Drosophila melanogaster: one gene and its partner. The protein of the gene in region 1 purifies or fractionates together with the protein of each later gene. This does not show direct contact. Each region holds a gene or a part of one and is shown on either strand. Other genes may lie near its edges.

Region 1 (5,205 bases):
ATATCTTTATCGACAGAGTTTTCATATAACTCTGCGCCCCAATTATATTGTATTTTGTATTCTAAACCAGAACATGATACATTGTTCATGATATGTGTCAATAAACAGATCACATTTTAAGTAGATGTACCAAGAATGTATTTTAATGTATTATACTTTTGTTATATCATCAAGCTTTTCATTAAAACTGTGAATACCATTTTGAATATTATTATTTTTTGTAATTTCAAGTTCTCAGGAACAGTCTGAAGTGAGAAAAGTCCAAGTCAAGCAATAAACAAACCTTAGAACCCATTTATACAATTTTTATCCAGAGGGTGGCATATCAAATGGCCATTTGACTTCTCAGTTACTCGAACAAAGCACTCGCCAATACATACATATGTACATAAATATTAATCTCTATTGGCTTACACAGCTGTTTAGCTGTTTCGAACAAACGGCTACTATAAACAAAAACTGAAAATAATATCAAATTGAATCCCAAAGACAGAGAGACAAAGCCCAAGTAAAATGCCAGGCGGGTGTGCTGAAATTGCATTTTGAAATGTTGCTTAACTTGATTTGCAAGCGCGATCGACGAGCTGTTTCGTTGCGAATTAAACGTTGTTGCGGCTTTTGCAGCCGCGGCTGCCATGCAAATGCGTTCTAAAAGCCTTTTCGAGTTATTAATGTGCATATATGGTCAGTAAGTCAGTCAGTCAGCTTGATCAAAATAAACGCCACACTGCGAGAAAACCAAATCAAGTGCATCAAATTGGTATGAAAGGGCGTTCTTTTTTCGTTTGAAAGTGTATTTTCCAAAAAATATCAAAATTATCAAATTTGTTATGTTTTTTAAACTAGCATGTTTAAGTCAAGAATATATAGAAGGTATATTACACTTTTAATCATTTCAGTGCAGGCATAAAGGAATGTGTTAGCAAAAAGCAGCATACATTTGTTAAATAGAATAGGCATATTTATGACCGAATTACCTCACAGTCATCCATTTCAAAAAGTTAAATCGCTTGCTTGCTAATAAATTCTCCAAAACAGCCATAAATATGAAATGCTCAATTTGCCATACTATTTATTCGCATACAGGAATGAGTTCACCTATTCAAAGCTTGAGATATGGAAGTAACGCAACTTGGGAATCCGTTTTAAATTAAAATAGTAATGTGGAAAAGGGTAAATAGTGCCATTACAAACCGCTTTATCTGCGGAGCCTTTCGTCACATTAGTTTTTACATACATACATATGTACATATTTACATAGCCTGAATCTTGAAAAGCGAACCGCTAAGTGCTCCATGTTTGCAGTTGCCATCGAGTAAATTTGATTTGATTTGTGTTGATCTACTGTCCACCTCTTCATTCTCCCCATTTCCCATCCTTTTCTCGTCTTCTCTTCTGCACTCTTCTTTGGCCCCTCTTTCATCGCTTTTTGCGGGGGCTTTTTAAAAAGTGTCAAGTAATGCGTGGCATCGTTCAATTAAGCGCAGTGCAAGAAATTCAGATACAGATTTAAATTAAAATCCATGCTCAGCTTTAACTTGACATACACTCAGAAAAGCGAGGGGAAGTACCAAAAATTCTTCTGGATTCCATTTACTTATAAGTAGAAAGTCAAAAATTCGTTCAAAAGGAACAAATAATTTTGTTTTACATTTTGTGCAGCTAATAAACGCAAAAATTCTTCACCTTTTTGTGTGGTATTTTTTGGTTTAGTTTTGAGTGTTTTGAGCTGGCGATCGTTTGAGAGACGCAGCCGCTAAATCGCCGCAGCCAAAGCGGCGCTCGTTCCACTGAAATCCGCTCAGAAGAGCGCAGAGAGCAGTTAAAAAATCTACGACAAAAGGGGAGAATACAACAGTGATGATAGCGCCGAAAGTGGCGGAAAAACGCTAAACAAAATTGAAAGTCACATCTAAACATTACGTATACGCCGTAGTGGTGACAAATTACACATACGACTAGTTGAACGGACTGAATTAAATTACTTTTATAATAGTTATAGCTTAACAATAGTTGTAGGCGCTACTCGTATTGAAAATTTATTATGTAGCGAACGTTCGCTAACATGTTTTTGAGTGCCTTGGTTAGTTTAATTCGACCCATTAGGTCGAATGAAATTCTGGCACATTAGTAGCCAAATGAGCATCACTGACTTCTGGCCGGAGGTTGGGCATTCGCGTTTGGCGTTCGCCGCTTTGGCGCTCAGTTTGTCATTTGCACGCGCTTACGCCGGTTGGCCGCCCAACAAAAACAAGGCTGTAGAATACATAAACCGCCTGACCGACCGCTCGCGTGTTTTTAGTTTTAGCAGCTAATATAAATACATAAATGCGACTATTTACTTGGGCAATTTGCGACTAAGGTGCGCTTAAATACAACACTTATTTTTTTGAGGTGCTGCCATCGTTTTCATATGTGCCAAAAGCCAAGAGTGTGTGCGTTTCTGGAACAGCCATAAAGTTCAAAGTAATAAAAAAAAAGTAATAGGGAGAGAAGGAAAAACTGTTTGCAAATCTGCTGGGCAAGCCAAAAAAGAATGCAAATAAACGGAGAGAAAGAATTCTTTCCTCTTTTCAGCTCTCTTCTCCTGATTTTGTTACTTGTGATCACAGCCCACGCATCAAAACAAAACAAACAGAACACAAACAAACCGAAGCCCCAAACAAGAATTTAGCATCTCTCCATTCTTGTGTTTTATTCTTGTTTCGCTTTTTTTTTTGCAATTCCCCCAGGGGAATATAAATTAGCAGTGTAGAATTGTGAACAAACGCCCCCTTGCTAAATAAAATATACATGTACATATGTATATACGTATTTAAATTGGCAGACACCTTGCCATATATCCATATCCATTATGTCCGCTGCTCGTCATCATCGTATTTCGATACTTCAAGGTTAAATGACGTCGGAGAAAAGCAAACGTTAAATAAAAATCTGTTTTTAGTTGGCGTTTGTCGTAAAAACTGTTTCGGATCGGCAAAAAGTCCAACCCCAAAGTCATTGTTACAAAAAGGTATTCGAAATTTGCTCCAGGCCACAGTCAAGTCTCTGAAAAACGAACCCTTTTGGGTGTTAATTGGATATCCTTACTATATATAGAAACAAATCACTGTTGTTCTATACAAATTCAATAATCCCTTCGGATTCTAAATTAAATTGGTTTTCTTTGAACCTTTTTAGGATTTTTAGCGGTATAATTTATATTTTGAGTTCGATTTCACTTAAGGAACTTTTACTTTTACGAAATGTTGATCGAAAATTGTGCCAAGTGTATGGAAAGAGGTGGCGCAGAACAAAAAAGCAAAGCAAATGCCCGCTTTTCAAGTAGTAGAAAGCAATGAGCAGGCTAAAAACATTAACCCCGTCAAGTGCCCTCAGCATTCTACGTACTACTACTTTTTCGTTTTTTTAGGCGGTTGGACCTTTGGCCAAACCTAGCTTCGCTTTTAACAATGAACTTCGGGCTCTGAAAGAAAGTTGGTGACTATTTTGCTAGAGATAAGAATTGCTTAATCGCTGGAAAGCTTGTAGGTAATTGTTTGACACATTTAGAATGAACGCAGAAAATGGCAAATTCAAAAAGATTGGAATATACTCCTAAGCTAAGTCTGATGAAAGTTGTATCTAATCATTTTTATTTATATTTATATAAATATTTTAGGAAATGAAAACAGCAATCTTTCTTAAACAAAAGTTACATCCTTTTTTATGCATAAAATACGAATTTAAAATGTTCGATATATCGAGGTAAAACTTTAACTCGCAAATTTCCACCATGACTGATTTCCCCAGACATAAATACTCCAGTTAGTCATTAAGTTTACCGTTAATGCCATTCGGCTGTGTAAACTGCATGGAGTAATACGTTTGAAAAGCACTGGTAACAAAATACACATGTGTCATCCTGCGAGAGTTGAGTCAATTGTGAGGTGGTGAGGCAATCCGACTCATTTAGTTATCTTATCGAATTTACCGATACTAGGTGGTGATAAGATAGTGCCGTTTCAAAAACCGTTTCGAATCGGGCAATCAATGGAGTTCGTCGGCACTCCACCCAGTTACTACTACGATGTGAAGCAGTTTATTGCAAGACTAGCTTTCGGTTTGTTCAGTTAGGCCTCGATTAAATTCAAGTCATTTTGCACTGCATTGTACAGTCGATGAAATGTGCTACTTATGATTGGCACAAGTGATTGTGGCCAAAATAACGATAGTGGCGTTAACAATATGCCAAAATACATGTAGCATACACACGTGTACATACATTCAATTTGAAAGCATTGCTAGAGCCCAATGATTGCAAAAATCCCTAATGATTTTTAATGTCCCGTTGAAAAGCCTATGAATATTAACTGCAATATTGCACAATTCCACTTACAAGCTGTCATAATTGAGACACTAGGATTGTGGATTTAGTAATAGTAAGTTATGATAATAACTTATCGCACATAACTAATTATATTTATTCTGTTAAGAAAGGTGTGCTTTTTTTAAATTTTAAATGCGTATAGATTTTAGGGCCAAAAGGACATAATAGGACATAAAAGCACTATATACACATATCATAATTGCCGCCTAATTGAGCGTAATTAAGGGGCGTAGTCCAAGGGGGGTTTTTATGGGCAGTGATTCTACGGATTTTACAGTGCGTGTGCGCGACTTTCTACTTGGCAGGAAATGCAATTGCGCTTTAATTCAATTTCCTAACCGCAAGTCAACTCAATGAACGTCACTTGATTCAACCCCAAAGGGTTGGCCACCGCGTCTGCGGCGCATCCGGAATTCTAAGGCCCCGGGCCATGAAGCAGCATAGTTAGAGTGGGCAATAACGTATTATGACTTTATATATATATTTCCCTTGTTTGCAATGAGACATTTGTCCTCCACTATCTTAATTCCACTGTACTTAGACATTATCTTGACAATATATATTTTACCAAAGTCAAATGAAATTGCAAAAGTACCCTTTAAAAGGTAGACTTTTTACAAAACATTTTCAAATACTGCAGTTTGAATATGTTAAATGGGTAATACGAATACAGCTCTATGGCATACTTGGCACAATCGTATATGATTTTGAACTTGTAGCCTCTGGAATGCCCATTCGTGCCGGTTTCTCGAATTCTTCGACTCGAGCGCAAATATTTAAGCAGTTGCCACTTGAGATCGAAATGGAGACTCAACTCTCGACACGACTTAATTTTC
Region 2 (4,932 bases), on another chromosome or scaffold:
TTCTGTGTGAATTTTCATGATTAATCGCCGCCCGAGGATGCAGGGGGGCAGCAGCAATCACACTGAAACAAAAATTGCACTTGCGACCATGTGAGAGTGCACTCTGTGCTACTACTTATACTAACAAAAGAATTGATTTTATTTGGACTACAGAATTTTTCTTTCATTATAATAAATTTTGAATTTTAAATTTTTAGACGTGGCCAATACTAATTTGCAGAATATATCGGATATTTTTCTCAGTGTACGTAAAAGGGTGGTTTGCCGACTGCAGTTGTTCACACATGTGTTCACAAAAAGAGTGCAAAGATTGTGGGTGGTGGGGGGCGTACAATGAAACTGCGAGCGATAACTCAACTCCACCGAAGGTTCCCAACTTTCTTTCCCCCTCGATTTTCTTTTTTTTTGAAAATTTGCAAGGCGTTGGCATGGGGTGGGATGAAATTTGCAATTGCTGGGGTGTGGCAGTTCGGCATTAACGGCATATGCATCGTATGTAGGTTTTTACGTTTGTGTGCGTAGACGGCGACGTGTTGCAACTTCCGGTGACGTCGACGTAGTCGCAAAAAGTGATTACGCGGCATTTGTGGTAGCAGCAAACCGGCGACGGTTTTTGCAAACATTTCCAAGAATGCAACCGCATTTGCCGACACCCCCCTCCCCCCTTTCACCGTACAAACACCACCCACTTTTTCGTTGGTAAACAAAAAGCATCTGAAATGCAATTCGCACTTCGGCAGCACATTGGCGCCATCTAGCCGCGCTTAGGCGAACTATGAAAGAGAGCCAGATAACGCGTGTGGTTTTCCGAGAGAGAAAATTGGTGGAAACCCAATCGAGTTGGGAATTTTATCTAAGAGCGAGAGAGTGGTGCCGGTTCTCCGTTCAATTTTCCTCTCTGTTTATCTTTGACTGCTCCATTTGCATTCATTTTAGGCGTTATTGGTGTCTCTGCTGCAACCGCTCCCAAAAAATCAGATTTACATGTCGTTGTTGTTGGTTCTTTTTTATTTATTTATTTTACTTAGCATCGCATCTGATAAGAAAGTTACATATGTGTGCTGGGCGAGCAATGAACTTATTGGAGCCTCTATGGGCAGGGCTAATTGGGACCGGTCAATGTGAGCGGTGAAGGCTAATTAGCTGTGGGCGGCGGAAGTACGACATCTTATTGGATAGAAAATGGGGGGAGATAGGACTAATGGAAAATCAAAGATTTTCTTTTGTTTACGGCTTGATAAGAAATTGTATTAGGCTCTGCAATGAATTTATAGCCAAAACTTTCGTGGGTACTTGATAAAGGGTATGAAAATTTCTTTTATTTCTTTATTGAAAACCTGTATATATCGAACAAAATATGATTGAATGTTAATTCAATCTGGATAACAATACTTATACAATATAACTTTAGATCCTTTCAAAACTCAGTCCTTTGAGATGATATTTTAGTTAGCGTGGTTTCAAACCATCCAGTCTCACTTTATCTGACTCAATGAGAATCCAACTTGAGTCTTGCCGGCTCAGATAAGCCCCGTTATCTGAGCGAGAGAGCATCCCATATGATTTTTGCACAAAAAGCCGAAGTATGCGTTCGTGCTGTTGCACACAATCACACTCTCTTCGTATGTGTATGTGTTTGCCTCGTGGTCTTGCTCTCCCGCTCTCGTGTTCTGTTAGCTCACTTCGGCACTTAACAGCGGCTGAGAATCGAGGTTTTGAAGTTCGTGGCGTACACAGATACAATACAGCGTTAGTTCGAAAAAAATCGTGAACGTGTTTGGACACATTGTGGAGCGCACCGTTATTTCCTTATAGCAGACAGCTCAGCAGATTCGCGCGTGCAAATTCTCACCCTTCTCTTCAACCTCCTCTCCCACCCACCACCACCATCGGTCGGTCGCTGTTGTAGCTGTTGTTGTTGTGCGGGCAACTTGCTTTTTGTGGGCGGGGCACGCGGGTCATCGCAAATAGCAAAATCGTCAATCGTCAATCGTCATCGGCGAAACGTGTGTGCAGAATTAATGAAATGCCCGCGCCGCTTCTTCATCAATGAAAACAAAAAGCGAGGAGACTATCCGCCAAATAGTATCTCAAAGATTTGTAGCTGTGCTTTCGGTTAACGTTGTGTTTGGGCTAACATTTTTGTTTTGACAACAGTGCGTGCTAACAAACTAGCCACGAATTGCCAAAATTATCGCGGTAAGTCCTTCGTTTGGTGCCTAATTATTATTCTGTGCTGTGATGTTACTAAGTTTAGTACTGATATTAATTAGTTTAGTTAATACCTTATATTTACTTTTTTGTTTTTGGTGCGCAGCATTTTAAATATATTTTAATATAGTTAGAAGAAAATACTGATATTCAGTATGAAAAAGAAGAAAAATGGTTTTTAGTGATGGAGAGAATATTGCTATACAACTAGACTGAAATAGGGCTAATTTAGTAATATTTTGATTGATAACCATTGAATTTTAATCAATAATCTAAGCAAATTTACGTTACCTCACATATGAATAACTTTAGAGCATACGCTACATAGCTAAAAAATAGCTAGTTTAAGGCGTAAATTGGTTGTTTTACTATAATTTGTTTAAAATAGTGTGTAAACAGGATAAAATGCATAACTAAAGATTGACCTTATCAGATATTACCGTTACACTTAATGAAGAAGCTCTTTAAGGCCAGAAAAACGCCTTGACAGCAGCATGACATTCTCTTTTCTTTTATTGCTGCTGTTGTTTCAATGTTCGATCGATAAGTTTTATGAGTTTTCGTTGTGAAATTTTGAAATCATTAATTATGTCTCGGGCCGCAGACTCGCTCGGAGTTTCCGTCCAGGGCCAGCCGTCTCAATTTTGGGGTTTCTGTCTGGGGAACAGGTTTCGTTAGAGCGAAAAACTTAAAGAACTTTTCGAGGTTTGTGCGATTCCGGGAACTTGTTAGGTGCTGCCTGGACTCGTGTTTGCTTGCCCCTCTTTATGGAGATGTGGATCTTTATGAATGAACGAGGTGGGGCTCAGTTTGGAGGCTCGGGCAGCTGGCCGACTGGGCGGCTGAGCGGTCCGAATGTCTCGTGTTGTGGGCCTTTCTCGTTGACACTTTTGAGGAATGTCAACTTGGCCCCACTGGCCTGGCCAACTGGGAATGGGTTAGACGTGAGCTGGCGTAAGTCTAAGATGCTGGGATGTACTAAAGTTCGAGGAATTCGAAAGGTGTATACAGTTTGGACCGAACTCAAGAAGACTTCAAGGAAATGGCTGTAGAAGAACAAAAATATTTAGCGGCATTAAACCAAATAAGCTTTGTAACCTTATGGGTTTCAGAGTTACTGTGTATTTATAAACAATATTCCGACATTATAAACTATTTCAATGATGATCATCCCCATAGAAACGATTTTGTATTATTTTAATACGAGCTTATCTTTATGTTGCGCCTTCCACTCTGTGCTTCCATCTTCTATTGGTGACCTTCATTATCTCCATCTGAGAACAACCTCGAGGCGAAATCTTAAAGCAAATCCCCACTCATTAAAGCTCCCACTCTCTGTTGTTATCAGGCCCGAAAACGCCAAGGCCGAAGCCGAAAACTTCCAACCTGCATTAGCTAAGCAGACAACTGAGCAGGGGAAGCTATGTACATAGCTGGGTCTGAAACAGAAAACTTTTTAATTACCAACAGGAAAAAACATTTAAGATAAAAGCCAGGTAATATGCGGGGCAGGTGGGACAGGTCACTCCGCCCCCACACCCACTTTTGCATAAATTGAAATTATGGCAACTGTTTTCAGACTTCAGGATGAAGTAGATTCCGAGTCGAAATCGAACCTTTTACTTCTCACTCACTGACCCGAAGGTATTTATGACCTTCGTAAATAGGAAACCGAAGGAATAAGCAGCAGGTTTTAGCCATCAGAGAGCTACAAATTTTACAGCTTAAATATTTTTTAGCCATTAGATAAACAAATAGAAGGGGCAGAGCGATTGAGTCAGAACCAAAGGTGGAAGAGAAAAGAAAAGAACGAAAATATCTTTCAAGTACAATGTTAGGTAAATATAAACAAAACTTTACGTCTTTCGAGCGAGCTCACACTTCTTTTTACAACCTCCAAGACTTTTGGATGCTGCACTTTGGCTGTTGCTGGTGTTTTGGTTCTTCCTTTTTAGCTACTTAAAGCTTTTAGAGCGGCAGCTAGATGTAATATAAATTACATTAGCTAAGTGCCAGGCGGCAATTAAAAACAAAAAATACTCGTGAAGTTTTCCTCCGCCTTTGTTGTTGCTGATAATGTTGTTAATGATGTTGCGGCAGCATCTTCAGCAGCCCCATCCCATCGGCGGCATCATCATCAGTGGCATCATCATTAAGAACATCATTGCCACCATTAGCAGCATCATTAGAACGTCAACTTAATCAAGGTTAAAAAGCATGTGGCGTGCCTGCCCCAAAAAAGTCGAGGAAAACTCAAGAGATGCGGGAGCTGGCATCCCGCTCTATCTTTCTCTTTTTATGTGTGGTATATGGGTATATGTACATATATATATATATATATCTTCGATTCTGTAATTATTGACGCCGACGATGTCTTCCACGTTAGACATAAACATAAACATATTGCGATGACTGAAATTCGGTAAGATTAGAAAAAGTTATGCAAGGATTGGGCAAATTATGTTGGCTAACATGGGGCAATATTTTTCGGGAGCCTTGTGCGATGTGGCAAGTGTGGTGGTAAACATAAATGGTAGGTAATTGAATAGAGAAAAATTGAGAGCGAAAATGTTGATTAATCGAATAATGATTTATAGCAAGGGAATAGAAAGGGAGCTACCTCACAATGACCAGTATAATCTACCACAAAGAAATAAAAAAAAACTTTAAACCCCGATGATTCAATATTATCAGATTTAGCAAATCATACCACTGATATTT

What was found.
Region 2: the proteins of CG5541 (region 1) and caps purify together in Drosophila melanogaster (affinity purification with western blotting; one large-scale study listed by BioGRID). This does not show direct contact.

What each region holds. Positions count from the first base shown.
Region 1 is NC_004354.4:15,041,922-15,047,126, forward strand, and holds the start of CG5541 (uncharacterized protein), read left to right. Parts: upstream 1-2,201; 5' UTR 2,202-2,362; intron 2,363-5,205.
Region 2 is NT_037436.4:13,226,942-13,231,873, forward strand, and holds the start of caps (capricious), read left to right. Parts: upstream 1-1,750; 5' UTR 1,751-2,199; intron 2,200-4,932.